Linked DNA regions of Ovis aries. The protein of the gene in region 1 interacts with the protein of each later gene in a pairwise test. Links are inferred from orthologs where the notes say so. Each region holds a gene or a part of one and is shown in the gene's direction. Other genes may lie near its edges. The genes, in order: NUPR1, PTMA, KNSTRN, PSMD4, FUS and RANBP1.

Evidence for each region.
Region 2: the proteins of NUPR1 (region 1) and PTMA interact in binary tests that used the Homo sapiens proteins (3 or more experiments, as listed by UniProt). The link is inferred for Ovis aries from reciprocal best matches to the Homo sapiens genes NUPR1 and PTMA.
Region 3: the proteins of NUPR1 (region 1) and KNSTRN interact in a two-hybrid assay, tested with the Homo sapiens proteins (2 studies listed by BioGRID and IntAct). The link is inferred for Ovis aries from reciprocal best matches to the Homo sapiens genes NUPR1 and KNSTRN.
Region 4: the proteins of NUPR1 (region 1) and PSMD4 interact in a two-hybrid assay, tested with the Homo sapiens proteins (2 studies listed by BioGRID and IntAct). The link is inferred for Ovis aries from reciprocal best matches to the Homo sapiens genes NUPR1 and PSMD4.
Region 5: the proteins of NUPR1 (region 1) and FUS interact in a two-hybrid assay, tested with the Homo sapiens proteins (2 studies listed by BioGRID and IntAct). The link is inferred for Ovis aries from reciprocal best matches to the Homo sapiens genes NUPR1 and FUS.
Region 6: the proteins of NUPR1 (region 1) and RANBP1 interact in a two-hybrid assay, tested with the Homo sapiens proteins (2 studies listed by BioGRID and IntAct). The link is inferred for Ovis aries from reciprocal best matches to the Homo sapiens genes NUPR1 and RANBP1.

The regions. Positions count from the first base shown.
Region 1 is NC_056077.1:26,594,392-26,598,947, reverse strand, and holds NUPR1 (nuclear protein 1), read left to right. Parts: upstream 1-2,221; 5' UTR 2,222-2,287; coding exon 2,288-2,399; intron 2,400-2,811; coding exon 2,812-2,948; 3' UTR 2,949-2,961; intron 2,962-3,290; 3' UTR 3,291-3,588; downstream 3,589-4,556. UniProt on the Homo sapiens protein: Transcription regulator that converts stress signals into a program of gene expression that empowers cells with resistance to the stress induced by a change in their microenvironment.
Region 2 is NC_056055.1:233,411,199-233,415,296, forward strand, and holds the end of PTMA (prothymosin alpha), read left to right. Parts: intron 1-962; coding exon 963-1,034; intron 1,035-1,302; coding exon 1,303-1,399; intron 1,400-1,916; coding exon 1,917-1,990; intron 1,991-2,236; coding exon 2,237-2,284; 3' UTR 2,285-2,992; downstream 2,993-4,098.
Region 3 is NC_056060.1:34,203,988-34,209,567, forward strand, and holds the start of KNSTRN (small kinetochore-associated protein), read left to right. Parts: upstream 1-2,140; 5' UTR 2,141-2,141; coding exon 2,142-2,374; intron 2,375-2,537; coding exon 2,538-2,632; intron 2,633-5,580. UniProt on the Homo sapiens protein: Essential component of the mitotic spindle required for faithful chromosome segregation and progression into anaphase.
Region 4 is NC_056054.1:101,141,369-101,147,151, forward strand, and holds the start of PSMD4 (26S proteasome non-ATPase regulatory subunit 4), read left to right. Parts: upstream 1-2,517; 5' UTR 2,518-2,532; coding exon 2,533-2,558; intron 2,559-5,783. UniProt on the Homo sapiens protein: Component of the 26S proteasome, a multiprotein complex involved in the ATP-dependent degradation of ubiquitinated proteins.
Region 5 is NC_056077.1:27,785,384-27,790,394, forward strand, and holds part of FUS (RNA-binding protein FUS), read left to right. Parts: intron 1-121; coding exon 122-266; intron 267-437; coding exon 438-622; intron 623-824; coding exon 825-1,032; intron 1,033-2,665; coding exon 2,666-2,700; intron 2,701-4,216; coding exon 4,217-4,249; intron 4,250-4,845; coding exon 4,846-4,949; intron 4,950-5,011. UniProt on the Homo sapiens protein: DNA/RNA-binding protein that plays a role in various cellular processes such as transcription regulation, RNA splicing, RNA transport, DNA repair and damage response. Binds to ssRNA containing the consensus sequence 5'-AGGUAA-3'.
Region 6 is NC_056070.1:73,024,410-73,028,462, forward strand, and holds the end of RANBP1 (ran-specific GTPase-activating protein), read left to right. Parts: intron 1-514; coding exon 515-672; intron 673-1,828; coding exon 1,829-1,957; intron 1,958-2,255; coding exon 2,256-2,321; intron 2,322-2,359; exon of another isoform or gene 2,360-2,481; intron 2,482-2,619; coding exon 2,620-2,735; 3' UTR 2,736-3,033; downstream 3,034-4,053. UniProt on the Homo sapiens protein: Plays a role in RAN-dependent nucleocytoplasmic transport. Alleviates the TNPO1-dependent inhibition of RAN GTPase activity and mediates the dissociation of RAN from proteins involved in transport into the nucleus.

The DNA.
Region 1 (4,556 bases):
ACTATTTTGCAAGAACTCCATATTTCCTAATTTCTCCACCTTAATTTGCCTTGGTGTGTTTGCTATGTTTGTTTACTATGTTTGTTAGTCACTTAGTTGCACCCAACTCTCTGTGACCGCATGGACTCCTCTGGGCTCCTCCGTCCGTGGGATTCTCCAGGCAAGAATACTAGAGAGTTGCCATTTCCTTCTCCCATGTTTAAGTTACGGTTAAATTCCTCTTTCTCTTATCATCTGCTCTGTTATTATGATCCCCGGGAAACCAGAAGCTAAATCTAATTCTGGCTCAGGCCAGGGAGAAATGCAAGCAAGAGTGTCCCTTCTTGTTCAACAGAGAATGATACTGGGTTATTATAAGGCTCGGGGGAAGACGGAAGTTTTGGTAATATTGAAATGGAACAGTATTTCAGTCGGCTCACAGCAAAGTGGGAATGTGAGCAGGGAATTAACACCTAAAACCTATCCTGGACTGAGACCACGGAGCTAAAAAAAAAAAAAAAAGGAAAAATGGAATGTTGCAGTCTGCTTCCTTCACTGTCGGAAGTGCTCAAGCCTCAGCTAAAGCAACTCAGGGTGTGGCCGGTCTGGGTCAACAGACCCACAGGGTCAGGCCCTTCAGGCAAGAGTGGAAATTTCCACTTTCCCCTGTTTCTTATCCAATCCCCTTCCTTTAATTCATATTAAATTAGCACAAACATCTGTTTACTTCACAATGGTCTCTACCTCAGTATATCCATGGTTTGAAATATGTATTATTTTGTTTATTTTTTAATAAAGGTTTTGTTCTTTTTTTAATTTTTGGCCATGCTGAGTCTCTGTTGCTGTGCAGGCTACTCTCTAGTTGCGGTGCCCGGGCTTCTCATGGTGGTGGCTTCTCTTGTTGCAGAACACGGGCTCTAGGGCACAGGCTTAGTAGTTACAGCGATCGGGCTTAGCTGCTCCTTGGCATGTGGAATCTTCCCGAATCAGGGATGGAACCTGTGTCTCCTGCATTGGCAGGTGGACTCTTTACCACTGAGCCACCAGGGAAGCCCCCTGTATAACTTTATTTTAAATTGATTTCCTTTTATGTCTCTCTTACATTTCAAGGAGAGCAATGCAGTTTACACTGTAGCAAGTACTTTGCCATCGATTATCTCATTTGATCTTCTTCCCAACTCTAGGTGGTGCTAGTCCTAAAGAACCCACCTCCCAATGCAGGAGATATGGGTTCCATCCCTGGGTCGGGAAGATCCCCTGGAGGAGGGCATGGCAACTCACTCCAGTACTCTTGACTGGAGAATCCCCTGGACAGAGGAGCCTGGTGGTCTACAGTCCATGGGGTTGCAAAGAGTCAGACACGACTGAAGCAACTTGGCACAAATGCCAGCTCTATGAGGTAGATACAGTTACGATTACCCTCCGTTTACAGAGGAGAAAACGGAGGCTCAGCGAGGTAAATTGACTTGTCCAGGGTCATACAGGAAGTAGTGGATCAAGGGTTTAAATCCAAGACATCTGGCTCCAGAATTGGCTTAACCATTCTGCTAGTCTCCCTCTCAGGAGAGGGAGATTACCTAGGGACCCCCAGTTCAGGATGTTAAGGGGGGTTTCCAGGATATTTTTTTTTTCAGGATATTTTTTATATTTAAAGAAAAAAAAAAGGGTTGGGTGTGATCAGTGTGAGGATCAGTGACATAACACATGGTGGGTTGTACCCTCTCCTGGATCCTTCTTCACTCCATGTTCTGCCACCAGGGTCCTGAATCTGAGCCAGAAGTGGGTGGGGTGGGGCTCAGCTGTGTGGCCATGACCCCCAGCCCAGGAGGGGTATGTGGCAGAGGGCAGAGGGCATGAGATGGATAAGGAAGCAATCAGCCAGGTGAGGCCCTCAGTTCCCTTCGGGCCTTGACCACAAGCACTGTTTATGCCCAAACCCTGTCTCTTACCTCCTCCCCCGTGAGGGGCGGGGATCTCCTCCGTGGAAAACTACCCAGCTGGGCCAGCCCCAGTGAGAAAGAAGGCGAAGGAAGGGGGCTGGGACTCACGGGACCAGCTCTTCTCCACCACCCCCCAACCCCCCCCCCCCCCCCGCTCTCTCTCTCTCTCGTGACTGATGCTTACTGGGCTGGGTTCTGGGAAAAGGCCAGATTGCATCAGACCGGGCCTGAAGGGCCGGAGCCAGGCTGTGGGCTGAGGAGGAGACGTGGCTTTATAAGTTGAGGCCAGTGAACTGGGAGGTGTCAGCAAACCAGACACAAACAAAGCTTTAGAAGACGGGAGAGGGAGAGACAGACAGAGAGACATTATGGCCACCTTCCCAACAGCAGCCAGCCCGTCCAGGCAGCCCCCAGGCCCAGAGGATGAAGATGTCATCCTAGACGAGTACGACCTCTACAGCCTGGCTCATTCTTACCCGGGTAAGTTCTGGCCCCGCCACCTTCTGGATCCTTCCGTTTCCAATGCCCACCTTCACAAGTGGACTGAACCCCACCTCCCCAAACTAGGATTCCTCCTTGGGCTCCTGCCCACTCACCACCTGTTTCTTTGACCCCTGGAGTCACCCCCTTCCCCGCAACCCCTCATCCAGTGAGTGTTGTCCTACTCAGCCTTGGGACCTCACATACTTCTAGAATTTTGGAGATCACGAGGGAGGGGGAAAGTCCCTCAATCCACAGATGCGGAAGCAGGGACAAAGACTGCCCTAAATCTATGCGGTGACGATCCCCGGCCTCCCGACTTTAACCCAAGCTCTTTCCACCCCTGCCCTCCGTACCCCCTGAGCCTCACACCTCTGCCCACCTCACCACGGACTCTCGCCTCGGTTCCCAGGAGTGGGAGGCCGGAAAGGTCGCAGCAAGAGAGAAGCTGCCATCAACACCAACCGCCACAGCCCTGGTGGGCACGAGAGGAAGCTGGTGACCAAGCTTCAGAACACGGAGCGGAAAAAGCGAGGGGCACGACCCTGAGACAGGACTGGAGGTAAGGAGTCAGGGGCCCCCAGCACCTGTACAGGTCCCTCAGCCTGGGCGGGACAGACCTCAATGTGCGAGGTTGGGCGGGGAGGAGGGAGCCAAGAATTGTTGTCCCAACATAGAATAAAATGAGACATATGTTTGAGTTGCCTAGCGACCAGAGCAAAGGGAGAAACAGACCCTTTGCAAGTGGAGCAACATTTGATTTACAGACAGGAAAACTGAGGCCCAGAGAGGGTAGGGTCTTTCTCTAGAGTCATGGAGCAAGTGAACAGGAGAGGCAGAACTCGAACCCCAGGCTTCAGGATTTTTCACCAGCTGCTTTCCTTCCCCCAGATGAGGCCAGAGGACGGACCCCCACAGCAATGGAAATAGGACCGAGGAGGAACCAGCCCTTGGGGGCGGGATCCAGGCCTGCTTGCCCCACCCCAACCCCAGGACTTAACCCCACCTGACTGAGACTCCGGGGGCGCCATGGAGGAAGCACCCCCGGCCCCAGAGAAAGGACAAGATGGGGAGCAAGAGGCAGAGCATAGACAGAGGCAGAGTCAAGAAGGTACCTCCCCCCAAAAAGAAAGAAGGAGCCGGAGCTCCCCAGGGTGACGGTGAAAAATAAACAAAGTGTAGCAGCTGCCGACTGTTTGTGCGTTGTGTGTTTTTGTTCTCTCTTTGTGTGGCTTTTTGGGTGCACACTTCTTGCCTGCAAGTGTCTGCGTTGGCGTGAACCAATGAGAGCATTTTGGTGAGTGTTTGTTTTGAGCTATGTGTCTGGGAGGGGTGTTTCTAATTTTGTATGGCGTAGAGGTGAGCTTTTTTTTTTTTTTCTTTTGGTATATATGTGTTTGGGTGCATTTGTTTCTGTGGTTTCTCGTGAGGTGTATGAGAATTTCCTCTGTTTCTTTGAGATGCTGCCCATGAAACAAGCCCCCTCCTCAGCTCCTCTCCATTTTTGGAACAACAAACTTGTTGTTTATGTCGTCTTTGTATCAAACCACCTCTTCAAGTGAATGTTATTTATTGCTGCCATCTGCAAAATGGCGAAAAGTGGGATTTAAAACATTTAGGGACTTGCCCCAAGTTACTTAGGGCTCAAATTCAAGGATTCTTATTGTCCTCAAGTGTGAGGTAGGTCCCTTTGCCAAGGGGGCCGCCAGGACAGTGTTCTGGAAAGTCAGGTGAGCAGGAAAATTCTTATCCAGTGTTATCAGTCTTAGAGCCAGACTTCCAGAAAAAATGTGGAGTAAGTAAGAGGCATGCTGGGAGCTGGTAGGGTATGTTGATTGAGAAAGAGACTCAGGTTGCTGTAATGAAGACTCAAACAAAGCAGAATAGAAAGTTCTCTCTGTATCGCATAGCAGTTCCAAGGATTGGTACTCTGGGGTTAAAATGGCAACTCCATCATGTCAGGGATTTCAGTTACTTCTGGCTCATTTTTCAGCCACTTTTCAAACATGGCTACCACTCTGCACTCCAACCTAGCTGCTCCAGTACCTGCCATTTCATCTGCATTCAGCTTATGTAAATAGAGTGGGAAAGGGACCAATAATAAGGAGGCCGCAATAATATATTTTTAAGGCCATAACCTAAAAGCAGAACACATTG
Region 2 (4,098 bases), on another chromosome or scaffold:
AGGGCGTCCGAGCGGCCTCCAGTTCCCGGGCTGCTCGAGCCTGTTTGTGTTAGCGGCAGTGTGCTGCACTGGATGGGAAAAATTACGGGGCAGCGGGGTGCCCGCGGCGGCGCTGCCCCTTGGGGCTCGTGGGAGGCGCGGCCTGACGGACACCGAGCTGGCCCTCGGACGGGCGAGAGAGCCACGGAGGGACATTTTGGCGCTCCCAACTGCCAAATTTCAGGGACTGCGCGCCTGAGTGCAGCAAGGCCTCACTCGGGCCCAGGAGTGAGTCGCCTGAGCCGGTGCCCAAGTCCAGGGCTGTGGTCTGCCTCCTCCTGGGATGGCTGTGGCTTACGGAGGGATCGGTGGGATTCTGGTGCCTTCAAAGAAAGCCCTGCGCTTGCCAGATCGTGGGCTCCGAGCTCAAGCTCGGCTGCGGGGCCTCTGGCTGGAGAAGCGGCTTCCCCAGTTTTGCCAGTTCCCTCCCATTCCCTTCCCAGGCTAGTCCACCCACGGGAATCCTCCCGCAGTGTCAGGGCCCTCCCCCATTGCCTTATTTATTTATGGCACATACCTGCTGTCTTCCAAGAAGGATTTGTGAGAGGCGGAGCTCTCTAGTTGGAAACAACTCTGTGATGAGAGAGTGTGAGTGAAGTGTTCCCGGGCTCGTCTGCCCGGCCAGACAGGTTTCGGTCTGTGGTGCCACATGGCTTGTTTCCTAAGAAGCATGAGTAAAGGTGCGGTGGGAACCGCTGTCCTGGATCCGTTTTTAAAAATGTGTGTGTTTTTAAGAGTAGAGAAGTAGGATGAGATCCCGGCCACAGACACTCAGTATTCTTTGCTCTCTCCCACCTGCAACTTCGAGCTTGTTACTTGGGACATCAGGATTGTCACTGAATCCCTCCTACCTGTAGGTTCGGGCCCCTTTGCCAGCCCTAGGCTACTCAGAAGACTTACTGGTTCCCTTTTCCTTTTTGAAGGACTTAAAGGAGAAGAAGGAAGTTGTGGAGGAGGCGGAGAATGGGAGAGAGGCACCTGCCAATGGGAATGCTGTGAGTGTCTGTTGTGGTCATGACCCACCCCCCCACTCCCGGCAGCTCCTGGCCTGGAGTTCTTACTTAAGACTTTGGGCTTAATCAAGGGTCGGGCGGGGGGCTGAGGCCTTAGCCAGTTCTGTATTGGGATCTCTGGCTGGAACTTCAGGGGGCATCTCTCCGGGGGTCTGTTCTGTAGAAGCCCAGGGTAGGGTCTGGAAGAAGTGATGTTGGGGGCAGAGTGATGTTCTGTCCTCATCAACAAGCTGCTCTGCTTTCTGTCGAGGAGAATGAGGAAAATGGGGAGCAGGAGGCTGACAACGAGGTAGACGAAGAAGAGGAGGAAGGTGGGGAGGAAGAGGAGGAGGAGGAGGAAGGTGATGGTGAGTAGCTTTGTTCCTCTAGTACCTTCTGGTCTTCCTAGCAGATGGGGAGGGACTGGGGTCTTCCTGGGGGGTGGCAGGTCCAAGGCACCACCTCCAACTGGGCTTATAGCCACAAAGCCAGCATCTTTCTCACTTTAGGCTAGTGACTGTGGGGCTGTGCCCCTAGCACCACACTCAACGCCCACTGGAGAGTGCCCTCCATGCCCTGATCAGTTGGTTGGTGGGGCTTCTCTGGTTTCGCTTGGGTCTTACCTCTGATGATAAGCTGCCCGTGATGGGCAGTGTGGGTGCAGTGACTGCCCAGCTTGTCAGGCAGCAGAGATGGCTCAGCGGCACTCAACCCTGGTTACTCTGTTGCTGGAGATTGCCCAAGGAGCTGCAGTTTTCCTGTCATCGTGTCCACCCCCCCACCCTACCTGTTGCTGCCTGCCACTGAGTGGGAGAGTCCCAGGACCCACTGTGCCCGGTTAGTTGAGGAAGGCAGAGTGGTTTACTTGGGCTTTGTTCTCACCAGGTGAGGAAGAGGACGGAGATGAAGATGAGGAGGCTGAGGCAGCTACGGGCAAACGGGCAGCTGAAGATGACGAGGTGGGTCTGGTCTGGCTTGAGTTGGGCCAGAGGGCTGGGATCTGAGACACTAACACTGGAGGGCTTGATGGGGCTTAAAAGTGGTCATAAGGTGCGGGGTGTGGTCCTTCTCCTCTTGAGCTGGAGTGGGAACAGGGGCCTATGGGACCGCGCATGCCTGGTTTTAGTTTGGCCCTTAGGAGCTCAGCCAGTGGGTGGGTGGGCCCAGGGGATTGGAAGAGACCTTGACAATCCTTCCCTTCCCAGGATGACGATGTGGATACCAAGAAGCAGAAGACTGATGAGGATGACTAGACAGCAAAAAAGGAAAAGTTAAACTTAAAAAAAAAAAAAAAAAGGCCGCCGTGACCTATTCACCCTCCACTTCCCGTCTCAGAATCTAAACGTGGTCACCTTCGAGTAGAGAGTCCCGCCCGCCCGCCCCTGGCGGGCAGCGCCACCCACAGACGACAGCGCTCTCCACCACCCAACCAAAACCACAACGTGAATTTGCAACAGGGGAGGAAAAAGAAAGAACCAAAACTTCCAAGGCCCTGCTTTTTTTCTTAAAGTACTTTAAAAAGGAAAATTTGTTTGTATTTTTTATTTACATTTTATATTTTTGTACATATTGTTAGGGGTCAGCCATTTTTAATGATCTCGGATGACCAAACCAGCCTTCGGAGCGTTCTCTGTCCTACTCTGACTTTACTTGTGGTGTGACCATGTTCATTATAATCTCAAAGGAGAAAAAAAACCTTGTAAAAAAAGCAAAAACAACAACAAAAAAAAACAATCTTATTCCGAGCATTCCAGTAACTTTTTTTGTGTATGTACTTAGCTGTACTATAAGTAGTTGGTTTGTATGAGATGGTTAAAAAGGCCAAAGATAAAAGGTTTCTTTTTTTTCCTTTTTTTGTCTATGAAGTTGCTGTTTATTTTTTTGGCCTGTTTGATGTATGTGTGAAACAATGTTGTCCAACAATAAACCGGAATTTTATTTTGCTGAGTTGTTCTAACAAAGCTGTCTCAGGCCTGGTTTTTCTGTATTGGTTTCTTTAGGCTTTCTCCAGAGGGGCAGGGGCAAGAAGAGGGGAGGATCTTGAACCTGCTGTCCTTCCTGGGGACAGTGGGTTGGAGACCTCAGTTGGGAGAGGTGTGCCCCTTGGCACCAGGGTCTGGTGGGTGGCCATCCTGTAGTCAAGTACTGAGCTGCAACTGGCTAATGGGGACATGATGGAGCACTATAGAGCTATGGGCTGAAGGGGGAGCCACTTACCAGCTTCATCCCTTCCTAGGATTGTAGTGAGAGCATCTACACTGAAATTGTTTAACCCAGTTTCATTAGAAATCTGCCGACACCTCTATAGGCTGGGGGAACAAGCTACATGCGGGGCTGCCCTCTGGATCCAGGAGGTGGGGTAGGGGGTTGTCCAGGCCCAAGTGAAAACTCAGGGCCAAAGATCCCAGAGATGCCACCTCCCTGTGGGACAGCTGCTAGCTGTGCCCTTCACCTCAAAGGCCTCACTGGATTATCCTGGCCACTGAGTGGCTCCCCCTGGTGGTGACACGTGGCACCTTCTGGTCCCTTAGGACAGACATTCCAGGATACTAATGCAGCCTAGGTTTAGTCACTAAGAGCTAAGTCTAACCACTGGGACCCTGTAGATTGTAGCCTGCGAGGCTACTCTGTCCATGGAATTTCCCAGGTAAGAATACTGGAGTAGGTTGCCATTTTCTTGTCTAGGGGACCTTCTGGACCCAGGGACTGAACTTGGGTCTCCTGCATTGCAGGCAGATTCCTTACCAACCTTGCACTTATTCACAACTCCGATCTCCAGAAGAAACAAATACCTCGGTTGGGGGAGAGACACCCTGCCCCTTCAGCACAGTAAGGGGTGATATGTGAGCTGCTTGGAATTTTCAGACTGGTGAGGAGCTCTCTAAGAACCTTCTGGGGTCTACAGATGAGCTTCATATGTGTGGTGTGAGGGTCCACAGAGGAGCCTCGTGTGTGTGGTGTGGTGGGGTCCACAGCGGAGCCTCGTGTGTGGTGTGAGGGGTCCACAGAGGAGCCTCGTGTGTGTGGTGTGAGGGTCCACAGAGGAGCCTCGTGTGTGGTGTGAGGG
Region 3 (5,580 bases), on another chromosome or scaffold:
AGGAGGAGACCAGGGACAAAAGGGACCCAGTTGCAGCTGCTGGGTCTGCTCCATTGGCAGGCAAGCTGGCCCCTGAATACCCTGAGTGGTCAGGATGTCAGTCTCAGTGAAGAAGAGTCCCCGCCAGAGTTGCCATTTGTTGCAGGAAGGCAGACCCCTTCCACGGCCCGAAACTGGGCTCTTGTCTAACACTCGGAAATGAATTGTCCAAGGAGACACATCTGCTGACAAAGCAAGAGATTTTACTGGGAAAGGGCACCCGGGTGGAGAGCAGTAGGGTAAGGGTCCCCTGATCCCCACTTTGTTTCTGAGTCTTATTTTTCCTTATTCTTCTGCGGTACTGCTCCCTCAGGTCGGTTCGTTGTTGAGCTGGTCCTGACACCTGTCCATCACCAACTCCCAGAGTTTACTGAAACTCATGTCTATCAAGTCAGTGATGCCATTCAACCATCTCATCCTCTGTCATCCCCTTCTCCTCCGGCCTTCAATATTTCCCAGCATCAGGGTCTTTTCAAATGAGTCAGTTATTCGCCTCAGGTGGCCAAAGTATTGGAGTTTCCGCTTCAGCATCAGTCCTTCCAATAAATATTCAGGACTGATTTCCTTTAGGATGAACTGATTGGATCTCCTTGCAGTCCAAGGGGCTCTCAAGAGTCTCCAACACCACATTTCAAAAGCGCAATTCTTCGGCGCTCAGCTTTCTGAGACAGTCCCGTCACTTCATGGCAAATAGATGGGGAAACAATGGAAACAGTGACAGACTTTATTTTGGGGGGCTCCAAAATCACTGCATATGGTGACTGAAGCCATGAAATTAAAAGATGCTTGTTCCTTGGAAGAAAAGCTATGACCAACCTAGACAGCATATTAAAAAGCAGAGACATTACTTTGCCAACAAAGGTCCATCTAGCCAAGGCTATGGTTTTTCCAGTAGTCATGTATGGATGTCAGAGTTGGACTATAAAGAAAACTGAGCACCCAAGAATTGATGCTTTCAAACTATGGTGTTGGAGAAGACTCTTGAGAATCCCTTAGACAGCAAGGAGATCTAACCAGTCAATCTAAAGGAAATCAGTCTGAATATTCATTGGAAGGGCTGATGTTGAAGCCGAAAGTCCAATACTTTGGCCACCTGATGCAAAAGAACTGACTCATTTGAAAAGACCCTGATGCTGGGAAATATTGAAGGCCGGAGGAGAAGGGGACGACAGAGGATGAGATGGTTGGAGGGCATCACCGACTTGATGGACATGAGTTTGAGCAAGTTCCGGGAGTTGGTGATGGACAGGGAGGCCTGGTGTGCTGCAGTCCATGGGGTCACAAAGAGTCAGACATGAATGAGTGACTGAACTGAACTGAAGAAAAGCCCATTCTCATGATTATGGATTCCTCATCAGGTTAACTCCTATTCCCCCTTTTAGTCAAACATCACTTAAGATATCTTCCCTGACTCTGCAATTTAAACTAGGTTTCCCTGCTTTTCTCTCATAGCATGTTGTACTCTCCCCTAATAGTTTTACTATAGTTGATAAATACATATTTTGGTTTTTTTTCCAGTTTAATTGAGATATAATTGACTGGTTTGTATGATTATTTGCTGGTCACTGGGTTGTAAACTCCAGGAGGGCACAGCCCAAGTGAGTCTTGATATTTGTTGTCCTCATCCCACCTGCCCATTGTCTGACACAAAGCAGGTGCTCAATGGATATTTGTTGAATTAAATGAATTATGCGCTAAATGTTAGAGAATTCTGCCCCGTTGGCTAGGAGTAGCTTTGAATCTCGGCTTAAATTCTGGATAAGTGTTTTAAAAGTTAGGACTGAGGATAGGTGTCTCAGGTATTTCAGCTCACAAGCCCTCTCCAAATCTCACCTGCCACTCTCCACCGTGTAGTTTTTTTTCTTACCAATCCCTCTCTGCTCCTGGCTTTCTGGCATCATGCACCATCCCTAACAATCACAGACCAAATAAAGAGAAGGATTGTGACAAGGACCCTACACGTGACTGCGTTTCCGTCCCAAGGCCGGCATATGACACCAGTGGCTCATAGCTCCATTAAAGACTGCAAAGTGCATCACTTCTCTTCCCCCGCCCAGACCTGGGGACTCCTATACCCAGCGCCAGGAAGCCTAAACTGCGGCATGGACTCAGATCTTCCGTACAGCATGGCAGCCGCCGAAGGCGTCGCCCACGCCAGTGACTGCCGTACAACATGGCCTCCTACAGAGAGCGCCCCACACCCCCTTCCGCCCGGTCGCCGGAAGTTTCCCTTTGAAACCCTGGCGGCAGACGCGGTCCGTGGTACGGCAGTTACTGCGGAGCATCTTTTGAACCAGAGCGACGAGGCGTGTGGGCAGGAGCAGCAGGCACCTGGGTTCGGCTCTCCTGGGGCAGGAAACTGTGCTGGATGTGGGAAGTCGATGGGATGGGCTGGGAATGGAGGATTTTCGCTCTCCTGAGTCGCGCTCTCCTGGGGCCTCCGCCTGCTTGGTCTCCTTGGCCCAGCCCTGGGTAACCATTCACCTTGTAACTTCTAGGCCCCAGCCGTGCCGCCTCGTTACGATGACCAGCGTGATTAAGACAGTGTACACCCTGCAGCCCACCTGTGTGCTGAGCAGCGGCCTGCCGGCAGGTGGGTGTCCATGGGGCCCTTACCCCCTGGCACTGCGAACCGGCCCTGGGGTGGTCGGGCCAGGAGTCTGGAGGCGTCAAATCTGTTGTTGGGGGTGGGTGGCACCGGCAAGGAAGGGCATTCTACCGGCTTTGACAGCTTGCTAACTTCCCTAGAACCGGGCTGTCTAGTTTATAATAGGAGTTGGGGGAAGGGCGGTAAGGTAGAAATTTGGACTTGCCCCACCCGCCTGCTTCTTCAACCCGAACTCTGCTGCATTCACCAATTAGACTCAAGTTGCTGACTATTCTACAATATTATTTGCAGTAAGCTAGGGATCCCTTTTATACGTATCTGTTTTATTTCCAGACTTGGGGTGTCCTGAGGGACTGGGTTTGTTGTCAGGGAGGAGAGAAGAGAGTCATTTAAAAAGCAGGATAGTTAGGGAGAAGCACTAGGGTTCACACCGTGTCTGGTTCCCATTTGTAACTGCACAGTGTCCTTTATATAGTACATTCTCAGCAAACATTTGTTGAGTAAAGTGAGAGAGAGAGGGATCAGGCCTAACTAATGCTCCAGAACTTTGGGAGAAGAGGCATGATTAAAAGCAATGTTTGATTGCTTTGCCATTTTGCTTTGTGTGACTCAGCTTGGAGTTGAAATTATCTCCTAAATTCTGCAACTGTCAGCTGCCTAATCTAGAGATTATAGCAGGGAATTGGTTTCAAACGTGAGAACTGGGTGGCGGTGGAAGGTTTTGAAGCAGCTATTTAAGATTCTTTCCGAGGTGACTCCATGCAACTGATTGATGAGGCTAGTAGGATTGACCTATGAAGTAAATAGGCTTTTCTCCAAAGGCCTTACAGGATTATGTTTGTCTTATATTGCTTCAGGACACCCGAATGGCAATCCTGTCATCAGCAGGGCTTAGGAGTTGATGGAGGAACTGGAGTCAGTCGTACACTGCCTTTCTCTTAGAAAGCGGCATCTTTAGTTCAGTGGGGAGTGACTGGCATCTCCCCACCCAAACTGGAAGTTTTCATCTCTTTGCTTCTTTCCCAGTCACAGCTTTACAATCATATGTAACCCCAATATTTAAAAATTTTTAGGCTGCCTCCCAGGTTTTTTGATGTTAGGCAAGGGTTGGTTGGTTTTTAGTTTTTTTAACAGATAACATATACACATGTTTAAAAAAAAATTCCAAAGTTTGGAAACGATATACAGTGAAAAATTAGTCTTTCCATCCTTGGCACTAGCCATCCAGTTCCCTACTTAGCATCTCTCATTTTAAGAAGATAGTCTTTGTTAAACCCTGCTAAATTTTTCCTACAATACCATCCTTAGGTTCTAACAAATATGGGTTATTGGAACCAATCCCAGTCAATGAAGAGTGTTAATTTTGATCCGTTTGCTGTTGATACCTTTTTGCATGAGATATTTCTTATCATGTATGACTTATTAATACCTGAGAGAGGAGAAGGTAAATTCATTCACCCAAGGTTACCTTTTCTGACAGATCTCAGAAAGAACCCTTTTAATACTTGCTTTGTGTGAAAATAGGATGTAAGTGCCCACTGAGTGTACCTATAAATGAAATAATTTGTTAGCCTGAGAAATCATATTTATTCCAAACTGTTGTGCAGCTAAAGTCATCAAAATAAATCTTTATCAAACACAAAGTTTCCTAATGCCTGCAATTCAGTACTTTGTATCTCATTTCTTCATCTTGATTTAATCATTGATTTCTTCAACTTAAGATAGGTCAAGGTTATTAAAACTATTTTTGGTTGCGCAGTCTTTCTATAGTTTTGGAGAGCAGGAGATTCTTACTGTGGTGGCTCTTCCTGTTGCGGAGCACAGGCTCTAGGTGGGCTCAGTGATTGTGGCACATAGGCTAGTTGCCTCGGGGCATATAAAATCTCAGAAACCAGAGTATGGGCCCAGGTTTTTAAAGGGGCCATTTTACAATGAACAAAATGAAAGTTGGTATAAAGTAGAAGAATCCTTTGCATGTATTAGATGGGGTAGGGTGAGTACTTAACTCCAGAACAAGTTACTTGGATTTGCTATGAAATGGAAGTGGTAGAAAGAGGTGTGTGGCGGAGGGCGGCATAAGGGCTAGGGGGCAGATGCTCTCTTCTAGGGAAGAAGAGTGTCATGTCAGGGCCATTTCTGTGGTTATCTGGCAACAGCCTACCAGGATCAGAACAGAATGCCAAATAAGGAACCGAATATGAAACTCTAAACTTAAAGATGGATAAACAAAAATGGATGATGGTAAAGGCCAGCATGGAAGAGGGAAGACGACGAAAGAAGCTACTTTAGAGATGGTCTTTGAAACTGACATGTTCCGTTTAGGCAGTAAGCAGGTTTTGAATTTTTGCTAATATGCCAGATACTCTCCTAGATGCTGAGGTACAAAGACATCTGCAAAGCAGGAGGCCCCAGCCTCCGGAATCTAATGCCTGATGATCTGAGGTGGAGCTGATGTAATAATCATAGAAATAGAGTGCATGATAAATGTAATTAATGTACTTGAAGCATTCTGAAACCATCCCCACCCCACCCCTGGTCTGAGGAAAAATTGTCTTCCAGGAAACTGGTCCCTGGTGCCAAAAAGTTTGGGGACCACTGTCTTAGAGAACTAGTTAGTGAGCCAGTCTGGTCAAAACAACTAAGCAACAGCTGAAGCTTGAAACAGCTTGCATGTAGCTTAGGGGAGCAGGCAAAGTGCTTAAGAGCAGAATGAGATAGTTCCATTGAATTGCTGTATGAGGCAGGGTTCAGCTGTGTTTTGCCTTGCTGGCAGCCACACTGCCTCTTGTGATCTTTGCTTATATGAATCTCCACCCTCTGGCCATTCGGTTTGCTATATCGTCAAACTTCTGGCCACCCTCAAACACTGCACTGTCACATTTAAAGAATTTTGGTTTCTATTCCCAGTTGGTCTACAAGTCTTATTCTTCAGG
Region 4 (5,783 bases), on another chromosome or scaffold:
GTTGCATTATCCTGATTAACTCAGAACATTTTTTGTTGTTGAATCTTATCTTTTATGAAATACTTTGGATTTGACTTCACCGATTTGTGTTGATTTCTATTTGTACAATTGGTATATACCTGGACTTCTATGTAGCTCAGCTGGTAAAGAATCCATCTGCAATTCAGGAGACCCTGGTTTCTATTGGTACAATAGTTATATAGCTACACATGCTTTCTTTTATTACTATTGCCTGATATGTTGTTTTTTCCTTTCCTTTTATTTTTTACCTTTTGTCAGTTTGGTATGTCTTACATTCATATTTTGTCTATATTTGAACTTTTCACTAATGATTTTTCTATGCTTTATTTTTCTTCCTTTTCCTGTCTATGATTATAGTAACAGATTTTTTTTTCCTTAGAAATACAAAGATTTTACTCCTATACCTTTAATGGTCATCAATAACTTTTGAACATATCCATTAAAATTTTATCAATATCTATGTAATGTCTACAACACACTTCAGTTCAGTTCAGTTCAGTCGCTCAGTCGTGTCCGACTCTTTGCGACCCCATGAATCGCAGCACGCCAGGGCTCCCTGTCCATCACCAACTCCCGGAGTTCACTCAGACTCACGTCCATCGAGTCCGTGATGCCATCCAGCCATCTCATCCTCTGTCGTCTCCTTCTCCTCCTGCCCCCAATCCCTCCCAGCATTAGAGTCTTTTCCAATGAGTCAACTCTGCGCATGAGGTGGCCAAAGTATTGGAGCTTCAGCTTTAGCATCATTCCTTCTAAAGAAATCCCAGGGTTGATCTCCTTCAGAATGGACTGGTTGGATCTCCTTGCAGTCCAAGAGACTCTCAAGAGTCTTCTCCAACACCACAGTTCAAAAGCATCAATTCTTCGGCACTCAGCCTTCTTCACAGTCCAACTCTCACATCCATACATGACCACTGGAAAAACCATAGCCTTGACTAGATGGACCTTAGTCGGCAAAGTAATGTCTCTGCTTTTGAATATACTATCTAGGTTGGTCATAACTTTTCTTCCAAGGAGTAAGCATCTTTTAATTTCATGGCTGCAGTCACCATCTGCAGTGATTTTGGAGCCCAACACACTTGGCATCTCCATCTACCATCTCTGTAGTCATGTCTGGGTCCTCTGCTCCTTCCCCCACTTCCTCCAAAATAGACACCTGGAATTTCCAGTTTTTCTTTGGAGTGTATGTGTAAGTAAGCCAAGGCATTTATTTATTTATAGCCAGGCCAAGGCATGCAGGATCTTAGTTCCCTGACCAAGGAACAAACTGGTGCTCTCTGCAGTGGAAGTGCAGAGTCCTAACCATTGAACTGTCAGGGAATTTCCAGCCAAGGCATTTTTAATTAAAATAATTTTATTTTTATTTTTTGGCCATACCATGACAGATGTGGGATCTTAGTTACCCCACCAGGGTATGAGCCCACAGCCCCTCCACTGAAAGTGCAGAGTCTTAATCACTGTACCACTAGAGAAATCCCTAAGACATTTTAAAATGTAATTCTTCTTTTGAGGGATGCTGCACTGGGTCTTAGTTGTGGCATGTAGGATCTATTTCCCTGACCAGGGATTGAACCTGGGGCCCCCTGCACTAGGAGCACAGTCTTAGCCACTAGACTGCCAGGGAAGTCACTAAAATGTGATTTGATTAAAAAGCGAAAGTGATTGACTAGGTTGTCTCCCATTCTTTGGGAGATTAGTTAAAATTATTGATTCATCAAACTTTTTTCTGCCTTCCTACCATATGTCAGGCTTTGTAGTGGACTTAGGGATAGCAGAGATTGACACTTCTCTTGCCCTTAATGGGGACTTCCCTGATGGCTCAGACGGTGAAGAACCTGCCTGCAGTGCAGGAGATCGGTCCGATCCCTGGATTGGGGAAGATCCCCTGCAGAAGGAAATTGCCACCCACTCCAGAATTCTTGCCTGGAGAATTCCACGGACAGAGAAGCCTGGCGGGCTACAATCCATGGAGTCGCAAAGAGGGGGACACGACTGAGCGACTAACACTTTCACTTTCTTTTGCCCTTAATGAAATGAGAAAGACAGATACACAAACAAATGCAGTTCAGAGGTATAAGTGCTTAGTAGTTTGATGAACAAAGTGCCATGGGGAACCGGGGGAGCTGGAAAGTCAGTAGTCAGTAGTCATCCCACCAGTTTTTAAAAACGATGATGCTGGAATAGACATAGCTTCAGCACTTTCAGAAGTTCCTTCACGTTTTTTCTTAGCTCTTCTCTGCAAGGAACGCCACCAGAAAACCTGAATGGCAGGGCAGGTGGAGGTGTGGCCCTCTTTTTTGTGTTACTTGGCCCCTCCCTCCGCCCCAAACAGCTCCCACTTTTTTTTTTCTTTCTGGCGGCGCCTACAACTCCCAGAAAGCAACACGGGGATGAAGGCGGAACCAGCTGGCCCAACCGAGGTCAGTGATTGGTGATGCGCGCCGGGCCAATTGGAGGAGCTGTTGTTTAGTGGTCTAGGAGAACCGGTCGGGGAGGGAGGAAGGAGGCACGATGGTGTTGGAAAGCACTATGGTTTGGTGAGGAGCCACCTCGGGCCCCCTTGGGCAGCGGGACTGGGTCGGGGGCGCCTGTAGCTCGGAGGCCAGGCGGTCCTGGGGTGGGCGAGGGGGCCTGGTGGAAGAGATGAGGCCTTGGGCCGGGAGGAAAGGAGCTCCAGCGACTCCCTGAGTCATCCCGGGGCCCCAGAGGTAGTTCCCGACGGACGGGCCCGAGGTACCCCCCTTAACCCTCAGTCCGCGGACAGTCATTGACCGGTCCTGCTATTTTTCTCCATTACAGCGTCGTCTTCTCTAGACCAGCCTACATCTGTCTTTAGCTAGAGTCCTGCTTCTCGGACTCACCGTGCTAGTCTTCTGCCTTCCTCTCCTTTTCACAATGATGGGTGTTAGGAAGAGAGTTTCAGCTCCCTTCCTTGCCCCACTCACTTGTCGCTAACTCCTTTGCTTTTCCTGGTGTTACCGTCAAAGGCACTACAAGAGTACTTTTTAAGTGTTTGTGGCTTAGTCGTTAAGTCGTGTCGGACTCTTGGCGATTCCATGGACTGTAGCCCGCTGGGCTCCTCTGTCCCTGGGATTTTCCAGGCAAGAATCCTGGAGTGGTTTGCCATTTCCTTCTCCAGAGGATCTTCCCGACCCTGGGAACGAATGCGGATTTCCTGTACTGCAGGCAGATTCTTTACTAAGCTACCTTCTAAATGTTAGGCATTTAATTTGCTTCATCTCACTTAAGCCTCACAATACTCCCTCCCTTTTACAGATGAGGATACCGCGTCTCGGCAGTTTTAAATGACTTACACAGAATCACACAGCAGGTTAAGTGGTGGAGCCTAGGTTTAAACTCAGGATTATCTGACTCAAAGACGCTTCGGCACTTATCCAGTGAGCTCTCATCAGTCTGACTTGGCTAGCTGTTAAAACTGAGGACCACACTTTTGCAAGGTTTCAAGAGTTTCTTCTAAGTGTGAGCCTGGAATGAAAACAGAATAATACACAAACACACACAAATCCCCAGTTGCATGGAACAGACACCTAAGGGTTTTCTTTTTGCTGGGTAGATACTGTTGCCAGATAGCACATAGGATGCCCAGTAAAATTTAAATTTCAGATAAACAATTATTTTTAATATCACAATGGCCATGTGTATGTCCCACATATTGGATGGGACATACTTTCACTAGAAAGTTACTGTTGTTTGTCTGAAATTCAGATTTAACTGGGAGTCCTGTATTTTCTGTTCTTTATTTGTTTTTGGCTGTGCCGGGTCTTCACTGCTTTTGCCTGGGCTTTCTATAGTTGCTGGGACCTGGGGCTACTGTTTGTTGTGGTGAGGGTTTGCAGGGTTCTGGTTGCTGTGGAACACAGGCTCTAGGCGCCGGAGCTTCAGTAGTTGTGGCACACAGGCTCAGTAGTTGCAGCTCACTTGGGCTTAGCTGCTGTGTAGCATGTGGGATCTTCCCAGACCAGGGATCGAACCCATGTTCTCTGCATTGGCAGGCGAACTCTTTACTACTGTGTCACCAGGGAATTCTGGGAGCCCTGTATTTTCATTTGCTAAATATGGCAGCCTCTGGACGAAAGCAAGTTAAGAGTAGAAAGAGGACAGGATTTGGAATCCAAAATCCTGTGTTTGGGGTACTTTCCAGCCGCATGTTCTTGAGAATGTAGTAAATCTCTCACTTTAGCTATAAAATGCGAATATAATAGTAACATCTACTCTTCTCATAGCAAGGGTAGGCAGTGTGTGTCGTGGTGCTCTGTAAACTGCAGCACTCTGCATCTGTTAGTTGCCATGATGCTTAAGAAGTCCTCAGGAAAGAATTTAAGAGGGTCCTTGAAGGGACTTAGACAAATGTTAAGGAGAGGCCATTACATGTAAGGAGAAGGGCATAAGGAAAGCTGCTGAAGTGTACATTCTCAAGGCTTGTTTAGGGAGTAGAAAATGGACTAGTGTGGCTTCATTATTAGGTTGTTGGTTGAAGGTGGTTCCCTTTTTTGGAGAAAGGGGCATGCAGCCAGGTAGAAGAGCACAGATGTCGGGTTGAGGAGGCTGAATTCTGCCCTTTACCCTTCAATGGAGGACTACTGAAAACGTTCTGAGGCTGGTGGAGCCAGAGCTATATACAAAATGGGATTTAAGAATGCTGATCTGGCTTGGGGTATGGGAGGAAAGGTTAGGTCCAGAGTGATGCACTGGCACCCTGTTGTAACAGCCCAGCCATAGAAGAGCAGTGAAAGCCACTTCTTTGCTCATGCTTTGCTGGCCCTCAGAAAGTTGTGTATATTTGATTCTGCTTGGTCTGGTGGCTCAGACTCCCAGCCAGGGAAGCTTAGGCATCTGTATTTTTTTTTTTTTTTAATGAAAATTTTATGGAATAGCTGGATAATTTTGTCAGCCCTTATTTTGATATAAAATTTTATTGGGAAAAATTACTGTTGAGTGAAAGTAGTCACAGGAAATGCATGTATTATCCTGTCTGTATAAAGTTCAATGTTGGGAAAAGCAAACTGCATTTTTTAGGGGTGCACACATAGGTGTGCAAGCATCTGTGTTTTTACCAGTGCCAGCACCGTCACCCTCAAAGTGGTTCTGATACACTCGTGACAGCAGGAGGACCGCTCTCGTGTTCTGCACAGCAGGTTCTTCCTCCCTCTCAGCTGCCCCCCCCCCCCCCCCCCCACCTCCCAGGGCTTCCTCTGACATCTTTCTTCCAGCCTTCATCCATCTGCTGGTCTTGCCCACAGCCTTTGTACTTAGTAGCTATTGCAGCTGGATGATCCTCAAAGCTTCCATTGTTTCATATATTTAGCCACCACTGTATTTGAAGCTAGGAAGGCAGTTATTTCCCTGTTGGGAGAGTAGTTGGAAACAGTGTATCAGGGAAAAAAGCATATAGCTTGGTCAGTAAAGTCCGCCCTTGACCTCCTTTATATGGATTGAGTTTCGTCTATAAGAACTAGTCTGTGTGTCATGCTTACTGTTAGGCATTGTGCTAAGTACTTTCCATGAGTTTAATCCTCATAGCCAGCACTATCCAGGTAGGTATAATAAAACCCATTTTACAGATGAGGTAACTGGACATTAGAGAAATTCAGTAGCTTCCTTAGGATCATAGAACTAGTAAGTAGTAGAGTAGGGATTTGAACCTGCCTGAACGCTACCCTTGCAACCCTTTCTACTTGTCTTACAGTAGTTTCTTAATTACCTCTCCATCATTTTTGGTTTGTGTTTATTGCCTGGCGAAG
Region 5 (5,011 bases), about 1.2 Mb from region 1:
TAAGAAGTTGACTTACCAAGTACAGGAAGCACTAAGTGGTATACAGGGCTGTTCTCAGTGCATTCCCTGCCTGTTCTCTTTCCTCATAGCTTCTGTGACTTCCCTTTTCCTTTCCTTGTAGCAGGCTACGGCACGCAGTCAGCTCCCCAGGGATATGGCTCAACTGGTGGCTATGGCAGTAGCCAGAGTTCTCAGTCGTCTTACGGGCAACAGTCTTCGTACCCTGGCTATGGCCAGCAGCCAGCTCCTAGCAGCACCTCAGGAAGGTAAGGAGTGGGTGTGGAGAGGACTGAAAAGATTAGGGGTTCAGCAGTGGGAGTAATTATCAGGGGTAATGGAGGAGAGGTGGTCTCTGTTGGGGCAGAGAATGGGATGTACCAGAAGTGAAGTCCTGGACACACTGGCGTTGTGACTCTTGTCTTTTTCTCTTCCCCTAGTTACGGTAGCAGTTCTCAAAGCAGCGGCTATGGGCAGCCCCAGAGTGGAGGCTATGGCCAGCAGTCTGGCTATGGTGGGCAGCAGCAAGGCTATGGGCAGCAGCAGAGCTATAACCCGCCTCAGGGCTACGGGCAGCAGAACCAGTACAGCAGTGGTGGTGGCGGCGGCGGAGGGGGTGGCGGAGGTGAGAGGTTTCCTTCTGCTCTGTCTCATCCCTGCTTTTCGCAAGAAATTGTATTCTAGGCCGTTACCCTGAAAGGGTTCTTAAAAACCCCAGCTTTATCTGCATTTCTATTGAAGTTTATTCCCTGGCACTCTTGAACTGTTTCATGCCACCCCCCAGTCTGTTTTGTCCTTTTTAAAGGCAAGCTGTTCTTTCCTGACAGGTAGCTATGGCCAAGATCAGCCCTCCATGAGTGGTGGTGGCGGCGGCGGCGGTGGTTATGGCAACCAGGACCAGAGTGGTGGCTACGGGGGAGGCCAGCAGGACCGTGGGGGCCGTGGCCGGGGCGGTGGCGGTGGTTACAACCGCAGCAGTGGTGGCTATGAACCCAGAGGTCGTGGAGGTGGCCGTGGAGGCAGAGGCGGCATGGGGTAGGTGTCTTGTGAGCCAGGGAGTACCATCAGTGGGACGGGAGGAGGGTTGCATGAGTCTCCCTTGACGCCTAGTCCTGTAGTGCATGGTTAGTCTGATCTGGGAATTTGTAAGGGCTTTGAGTTGGGGTCTTGACTGTTTCTTTTTCGTACATCCATCCCCGTTTTATTTTTGTGAGAACTTGGGAGCCTGAACTTCTACCCACACTTCTGTACAGAGATTTGAGTACTGACAACTTTCATCTCTAAAGAAAAAGAAATGTAGGGGTGTATGTGGATTGGAGTCATTGATATCCTAGGCAAGAAACATGGAAGTAAAGGCTTCTTTCTCTGCAAGGGAAACCGATGATCCCACTCCTGGTGACAGGGAAACTTGTTACTTGTATTCCCATGTGTCCGCTAAAGGAGCTGTCAATGGTTAACCTGACTTGAGCTTCCAGGAATTGGCTACTTTCTCTTCCTGTATTCTCTAGTCACTTGAATCCACGAACTTGACTTGTACTAATCTGACGGACTGTAATGATTTTGTGTGTGACTTGGTTCATGGGGCTCTCTGAAGTGTGCAGACCTTTTGGACAAAGTACAGTACACTCGACAGTGGTCTCCCACCCACTTGCTCCACTGTCCCCCTTCCTCCGGTTACTTGTCCAGCTGGACCGTCTTTCCTCCCCTTCCTGCTGAAGCTGAAGTAAAACCTTAGATTTGATGTTAGAACATTTGTCAAGTCTGTTGGTAAATAACGATTGGAGGCACCCTTCTCTGTCTCTCTTGAGAAGGGGAGGAATGTCAGTGTGTTACTCCTTTTGGGGAAAAAGTAAGTTTTTAAAAAAGAGTTTGTGTATGGTAAGTATTCAGAGGGGGGGTGGGGGCAGTGCCATAAACCTTACAGAAATAAGGAAAACTCTTGTGTGCGTGTGTTTATAATGCAAAACTTTAAAAAAAGAAAAGCAACTGTTATGTGACTGTTAACTTGCTCTGCATTTTATGTGCCACAGGTATGAAAGGTGACATTGCAAAATACTCCGCTCTTCTCGCAGTGTAGAAGGGGTGACCCCGGGGGTGGGGAGAGATCAAAACCAGCTCAGTAGTTAGGGAAGGGCTTAGCTAAGTTTTGTCTCGCTTTAAGGGGAAATTGCCTTTGGTTTTGACTTTTTATGGAAAGGGGTTGGGTCTGCTTGCTGCTTTCAAAGCAAAAAAAAAAAAAAAATCACAAAAATGTGTTCAGGGCTACCCCAGCCTGGTGTGAAGTGTCTTCTGGGTAAACTGGGGGTAGGGTTTTTTAAACCAACTACTGGGTTGGCAACTGCTTGCGACAAGAGGAAAAACATCTGCTACGTCGGAAGAACGGCCAAGGAAAATGGGTCATTTTTTTTTTTTTCCTAGAGGAAATAGATATATAACCTTTTAAGCAAAATCCTTAACAATTGTGTCTGAGAAATTGCACACGTGTGTGTGACATGCTCACAGGTCAGACAAGGGTTGGTCAGGAAGGGGAATGTATTTTAGTAGCCACTTGCATTATCATTTTCCCAAAACACCTACCTATGTTTGGGGAATGTTGAACAAAACCAAAAACCGCCCTTTTGTAGCCGTTGGAAGCTTCATGTCCTTTCTTCTAACTTGTCTTCTCCAGCGGAAGTGACCGTGGTGGCTTCAATAAATTTGGTGGTAAGTGAACAGAGTTTCCAAAATTCCCAACTCCCAGCAATGCTTTGTCTGATTGTTCATTTGCAGTTGTCTTAGCGTGTTTTAAGTGTCAAAAGTTTTGGAGTGTCCATATCCACCTCCAGAAAGGGGTGGGGTGGAATGCCACCTGCTGCCAGATGTGTGCTAACCTGGAGGCAGGCAGGGAGTAAGACTCAGCAGTCGTCTGGTACCAAATTGGTTTGACCCAGGTTAATAAGCGGTGTTTAGGAGGCCTCTTGACGAGTGTCGCCACACCCGGCAGTTAGTGACCACCGTTGCGAGAAACTGGAGAGTGTGCTGGAGCATGTGGTGCCAACTTGGCTTTAGGATCGATCCTTTGATCAGTGTGTCCGAGGCTTGTGTGTGTGTGTGTGTGTGTGTGTGTGTGACAACCTCCAAACATTTTAATTCTGGACGAGGGATGAAGTATTGCCCTGCCCTGAGGATGGTGACGTTGGTATATATTTATGTATTAAATACTGAATGGTGTCAATGCAATCCTACATACACGTATTTAAACTCAACTCAGATGGGCTAAATAGCAACTAGCTCTGGGCAGGAAGGTGTGAACTGCTTCCAAGAAAGGTTGGGAGCATGTGTGGCTCATGGGAAATAATCAGGTCTTAATAACAGCACAAACTGAATTCATGGAAAAATGGCAAATTGGAGAAGTCTCCCAGTAAGCTGGAACTTTTCTGGTCTGGTTAACTAACAAAGGGTTTCTTGATTTGTCTCAACATGTAAAGCCAAAGGCTTGGGTTCATGATTTAGGTGTGTCATTGAGTGTGGGTACAACATTTATATATGGTGAATTCAGATAAACTTTGGGCGAAGATGGTCTCTGGAAAAAAAAAAATAGAGGCTGCATTATGGAAATAAGATTTCTGGTCTGTTCCCTGGGACATGCTTAAAACATACAATAGCTATTTTGTATGGTTTTTATTTTCATGTGGTTTTTGGGGAAACAACATGGTTTTAAGACTGGTTTCGAAAGATGACATTAAAAATTGTTCTACAAGGGATAAGTGTCTTTGGTGCTAAAGTTTGGAGAAACTGTATGAATGCATATCACATTGCTGGTGGTGAGCCCATTTCTCTCTGGGGCGAGAGAAGAGGGCCAAGCTATGAGTTGGTTTGTTAACTTCAATGGGTCTCCCTCCTGGCCCTCCCAGTCTGTGCTGAGGACATTTCCCAGCCTGAGCTGGGGGAGGCAGCATTTTCTGAAGTGTGGAGTTGTCCCTGTGGGGACTCAAGTTACATGCAGACCTTAAGAAAAGGGGCCTGTGTCTTTCCCAGACCTGCCTAGGGTTTTCTCTGGGCAGGCGACCCAGAACAGGGTTTGGAGTGAGGCTGGCTGTGAGCACTTACCTGATATTTTGCAAAAGTTTGGATTTGGTGTTAATTATTTTGCTTGTCTTTCTCAGCCTCTTAACTAACGGCTCCTCTTTCCTTGTTTTTTTGTTTTTTTGTTTTTGTTTTTTCTTCTATGTCATTTAAGGCCCTCGGGACCAAGGATCACGTCATGACTCTGGTAAGTCCGCAGGTGGCAGGAAAGAAAGGCAAAAGTGGTAGCAGGACTTTCCTTGGATGTTGTTCAAACTTAAGGGAATCTGAAGAAGAGCGGGGCTAGAGAAGAGCGGGGAAGAGCGTTTAGTTAGGAGTAGCTGTGTTGAATAGTGTATTTAACAAGAAAGACACAGGGACGCACTTAGTGTATGTGTTGTTTTGATGATGTTTGTATAGGGCTTCCCTGGTGGGAATGCTGCGTTTTAGTGTAAAATTAGTTTCTTTGGGGGTCTTCAACTGAAAGTTGACAAACACTGGTGTGGTCTTGGGCAGTTAAATCCTGAGCCCTGGATTCTTTTACGAATTTCAACATATTTTAAGGGGTAGTTGTAAACCTAAATTTTAATTGGTGAAGCGGCTAGCATACAGGCACTCATAATGAAGTAGAGTTGGAGATTTGTCGGACCTACAGCACCAGTGCTTTATATTAATTGGTTTAGAAATTTTCTTTCTTGGAAAGCTAACTATCAAGTATCAAAGTTCAGGTTACTAAGTGTCACTGACTTATTTTATCTCTGGTTGTTTTCTGTCTCCATGTTTCCTGCTGTGTTGGGCAAGCAGAACAGGATAATTCAGACAACAACACCATCTTCGTGCAAGGGCTGGGCGAGAATGTTACAATTGAGTCTGTAGCTGATTACTTCAAGCAGATTGGTATCATTAAGGTACTTATGGGAACTTCTCTGGCAGGCCAGTGGCTAGGACTCCTCGCATCTACTGCAAGGGC
Region 6 (4,053 bases), on another chromosome or scaffold:
GGAGACCAGTCCTGGGCGCCTCCCAGCCTCCCCAGGGAGGCCGGGCCAGCGGGAGGGGCCTCCTCGTGGGCCCACTGCTCCCTTGGTGGTTGCGTGTGGCGCAGAGAGCAGTCTCCGCAGGAAAGGGGCCGGCAGAGCTGGGATCGATGGCGAGGCAGACGGCCGAGCTGCTGTGGGTGGGAAGGCCGACTCGGCCCAGAACCTGTGGCCCGAGGGGAGGCCTGCAGCCTGTCTTCCCAGCGGAGGAAAGGCTCCTCGTCCCTTGCCCGCATCCGTGGCGCCAGGGAGCCCCCGCACTGTGACGGCCGCCTTGGCCGGCAGTGCAGTGCGCCCTCTGAAACGTCAGGCTTTCCTGTAAGACTTGGGGTTTGTTGGGCCTCCTCGCTTTTCTGGTGATGTCCTGACCTGCAGTTCTGGAGTAAAAGGCAGGGATGTCTGGCGAGGCCTCGGGTGTAGACCCGGCCTCGTCCCTCCTACGCCTGCCTAACGCCTTTCCCCACGGCTTTCCTCGCAGGCGGGCCAAGCTGTTCCGGTTTGCTTCAGAGAACGACCTTCCGGAGTGGAAGGAGAGGGGCACGGGGGACGTCAAGCTGCTGAAGCACAAGGAGAAGGGGACCATTCGCCTGCTCATGCGCAGGGACAAGACCCTCAAGATCTGCGCCAACCACTACAGTAGGCGGGGGCGAGGGGCGGGGACCCGCAAGTTCTGCACCAATCACTGCAGTGGGCGGGGCGAGGGGGCGCACAGGTGACCCGCAAGAACCAGAGGGCCCGGGAGGGTGCTGTGGCTGGGCGGGCAGGGACCGGCCTCCCGGTACCACGGTCCCATCGACTCTCTTGGGCCAGCTCCTGTGCCCACGCTCCGAGGTCCTCCCACCACGCCCCGCTCAGCCCACCCTGTCGCTTCTGGCCTGGTCCTTGTTCTCCAGCCCCGTTTGAGGTGTTTCCCAGAGGTTTTCCCTGACCTTGCTTCTCTCAGAGCCTGGCTGGTCACCGGGTTTCCGGCCTGGTGTGCAGGTGGGTGGGTGGTGGCAAGAGAGGGGCCTTGAGTGCCCAGGAGGCACGTGGGCTCAGCGGGGTTCTGGGCTGGGATGAGTAGTCTCGGTGCTGAGTGTGATGTGTTCCTGGGACTGGTCCTGGGAGATTTCTGTCAGGCACGTGGGACGAGTGTGGCCGTGGGGCACTCGTTTCTTGGGAAGCTGGCCTCCTTGAGTCCCTGCGTGGCCGGAGGGATGGGTGGCCATGCAGATTCCTGGGTGCGGCTTGATCTCCGTGACGTACAAGCTGGTCACGGGCCTTCGGTGTCCACTTCCAGTGGCCTCTTTCCCTGGGATGTGCTTGGGCAGTGTGAGGCCGAGAGTGGTGGGTCTCCTTCACCCCACTTGTGGCTTATGCGTCTTGGCTACAGCCCTGCCTGCTGTGGGCTGGGTCCTGATGTGTGGCCAGGTATGGACTCCGCCACGTGGTGGGCACCCTGTTCAGGAAGGCTGGGCCTGCCCAGCTGCGGCCCACATCTGCCCTGGGTCTGCTCGGACAGGGCCAGGGCCGGGGCGGCTGGTGGTGAATGGGTCTGGTGGCATTGGAGACCCCTGCTGAGGTGTCCTCGTGGTCGGGGAATGGCTGCCTTCTTCCCAGATTCAGGACAGTCCTGCTTTTAAGTGGGCACGGGGAGTTTGCAGGGGTTTGGGTAAGATCCAGACCCACAAGCCTTTGTCTGGGCCTGGCTTGGCGAACCCCCAACCAGGCTTTTGCTCCAGTCAGGGCTTTAGGGGTTGGGGTGGGGGCCGGCCTGGCAGCCGTGCGGTTCTCATGGGGCTTCTCCCTCCAGTCACGCCGATGATGGAGCTGAAGCCGAACGCAGGCAGCGACCGTGCCTGGGTCTGGAACACCCATGCTGACTTCGCTGATGAGTGCCCCAAGCAGGAGCTGCTGGCCATCCGCTTCCTCAATGCCGAGAGTAAGCAGGCCCGGGTGTGTGCGGGGCGGGGGGCCCTCCGGGGGGGCCTGCGCTCACAGGGCTGTGCCCCGCCGGTCCCCCAGGCCGCGGTGTCCTTCCGCTGGTGTTGTCAAGAGCAGCACCCCGTCGCTGGCCGTCTGGTGCCGAGGAGGCCTCGCCTCTCTCTGTGGGGTCTGCTCCAGTGCAGTGCCTGGCAGGATGGGCTGCCCAGATGGGAGTGGGGTGTCTGTGGGACCCTCCGGGACCGCGTCCTCCTTGCTGCTCAGGGCTCTTTGGGGCGCCGTCTCTCTCTTTGCAGACGCACAGAAATTCAAGACAAAGTTTGAAGAGTGCCGGAAAGAGATTGAAGAGAAAGAAAAAAAAGGTGCCGGGGGGCGGGGCGGGGCGGAGGGGGGGTGCTCTGCAGACTCACTCTGCACCCAGCCGCAGCCCCCGGCGGGTGCTTTTTCCGTCTGCCACAGGAACTTGCGGGGGCTGTGACCTCTGCCCTGTGAAGGGCAGCACAGCTACCCCGGTACACGGGTGCTTTCTGGGGGTGGGGCCGCCGGGGCTTGGGGAGGTGCTTGTGCCGCCGCTGGAGTCCCGGGCACACGCTCACCTGGAGATGCTGGGGCACGGCCGGCTGCTGCGCCTCCCTCTGACCGCGCCCCCGTGTCCCCCAGGGTCTGGCAAGAATGACAGCGCCGAGAAGGTGGCGGAGAAGCTCGAGGCGCTATCGGTGCAGGAGGGCGAGCAGCCCCAGGACGTGGCCCCGGCGCCCGCCGAGGAGGAGCAGTGAGGCTGAGGCGCCCCGGGCAGCTTGCCCCTGTCTCCCCCGTTTCTTTTTTAATTTTGCCCTGCGCCGCCTTTTCGGTTTGTTTTTATTCTGTTTTGTTTTTACAAGGGACTTTATATAAAGAACTGACTTCCAACATCCAGGTTGTTTTTTTTTTTTCCAAGTTTTTGCCCTCATGAAGACAACTTCAGAAAATCCATTCCCTGGTCACGAGAATGTACCGTGCTAACTTTCTTTTCCATAGTGGAAACACTTATTTATAGTCATCAAAATAGCGAATAAACAACACGTTTGAAACCTGCATGGAGGCAGGACGTGTGTGCGCCGCCCCCTCGCTCTGCCCCGGCCTTGGCGTGAGGACGCCCACCAGGAGTCCTCAGTGCCCCCCGGGCTTTGACCAGGCATCTTTGGGTGGCCCTCTGCCCTGGCGGAGCTGCCTGTTGCACCTGGAGCCGGGCGCAGCCCTGTGACCGTCCTCAGAGAAGACTGTCCTGCGCGGCTCCGGGCCCTCTTGTCTGGGTGGAGGGGGGGCGTCCTTGGGGGGCGAGTCCGGTGAGGCCCTGTGTCTTCTGCAGACCACTGCCTCCGAGGGAGTCCTGTGGGGGTGGGGGTTTGGGGAACACGACAGGACCTGGCCAGAGAATGCCTGTGCTTGGCCTGTAGAGGGTGAGGTGGGGAAGGGAAGTGGCTGCTGCGTCCATGTCGGCCCCTGGTCTGTAGGTCAGGCCTGCTCCCTGCTGCCCTTGGGAGGTGACCCCTGGGCCACAGCTCCCTGGGACCCTCTGCCCACGCCCTGCACCCACCCTCTACAGACCCAGACACCCTGAGGGGCAGGGCTAGGACCGCAGTGTGTCCGCAGGACCTCGGGCCACCGGAGGCAGAGGCAGCTGGGTAGAGCCAGGAGGTGTCCGCTTCCTGCCTGCCTGTGGCCTGGGGGCTGCTCCCCGCCAGGCAGAGGCTGTGGCCAGGGGTGGTAGGAGGACACCCACACAATCTCTTCTGTCTGTCAGCTGCCTGGGGCCCTGGGGCCAGGCGGGGTCTCCCAGCCTGAGGGGCTCAGGCACACGGCTGCACAGGGTTCTGGCCACAGAGCAGCAGACAACCCCCATGGATTCCTGCCGGGGTCCAGCCCCGCTCTCTGGGGAGTTTCCCACCTGGGGAGGGGCTGAAGGTCTTGGCTTCAGAGCAGGGGCCCCGGGCTGGCCCGACCTCACTGTAGTCAGCTCCACCTTAAGTGGCAGCCGCGGGGTCCGGAGGTGGGGTTTCCTGCAGGGGGTGAGCCTGCCCAGGCAGCCTGTCCTGGCAGGGGCAGGGCACCCCA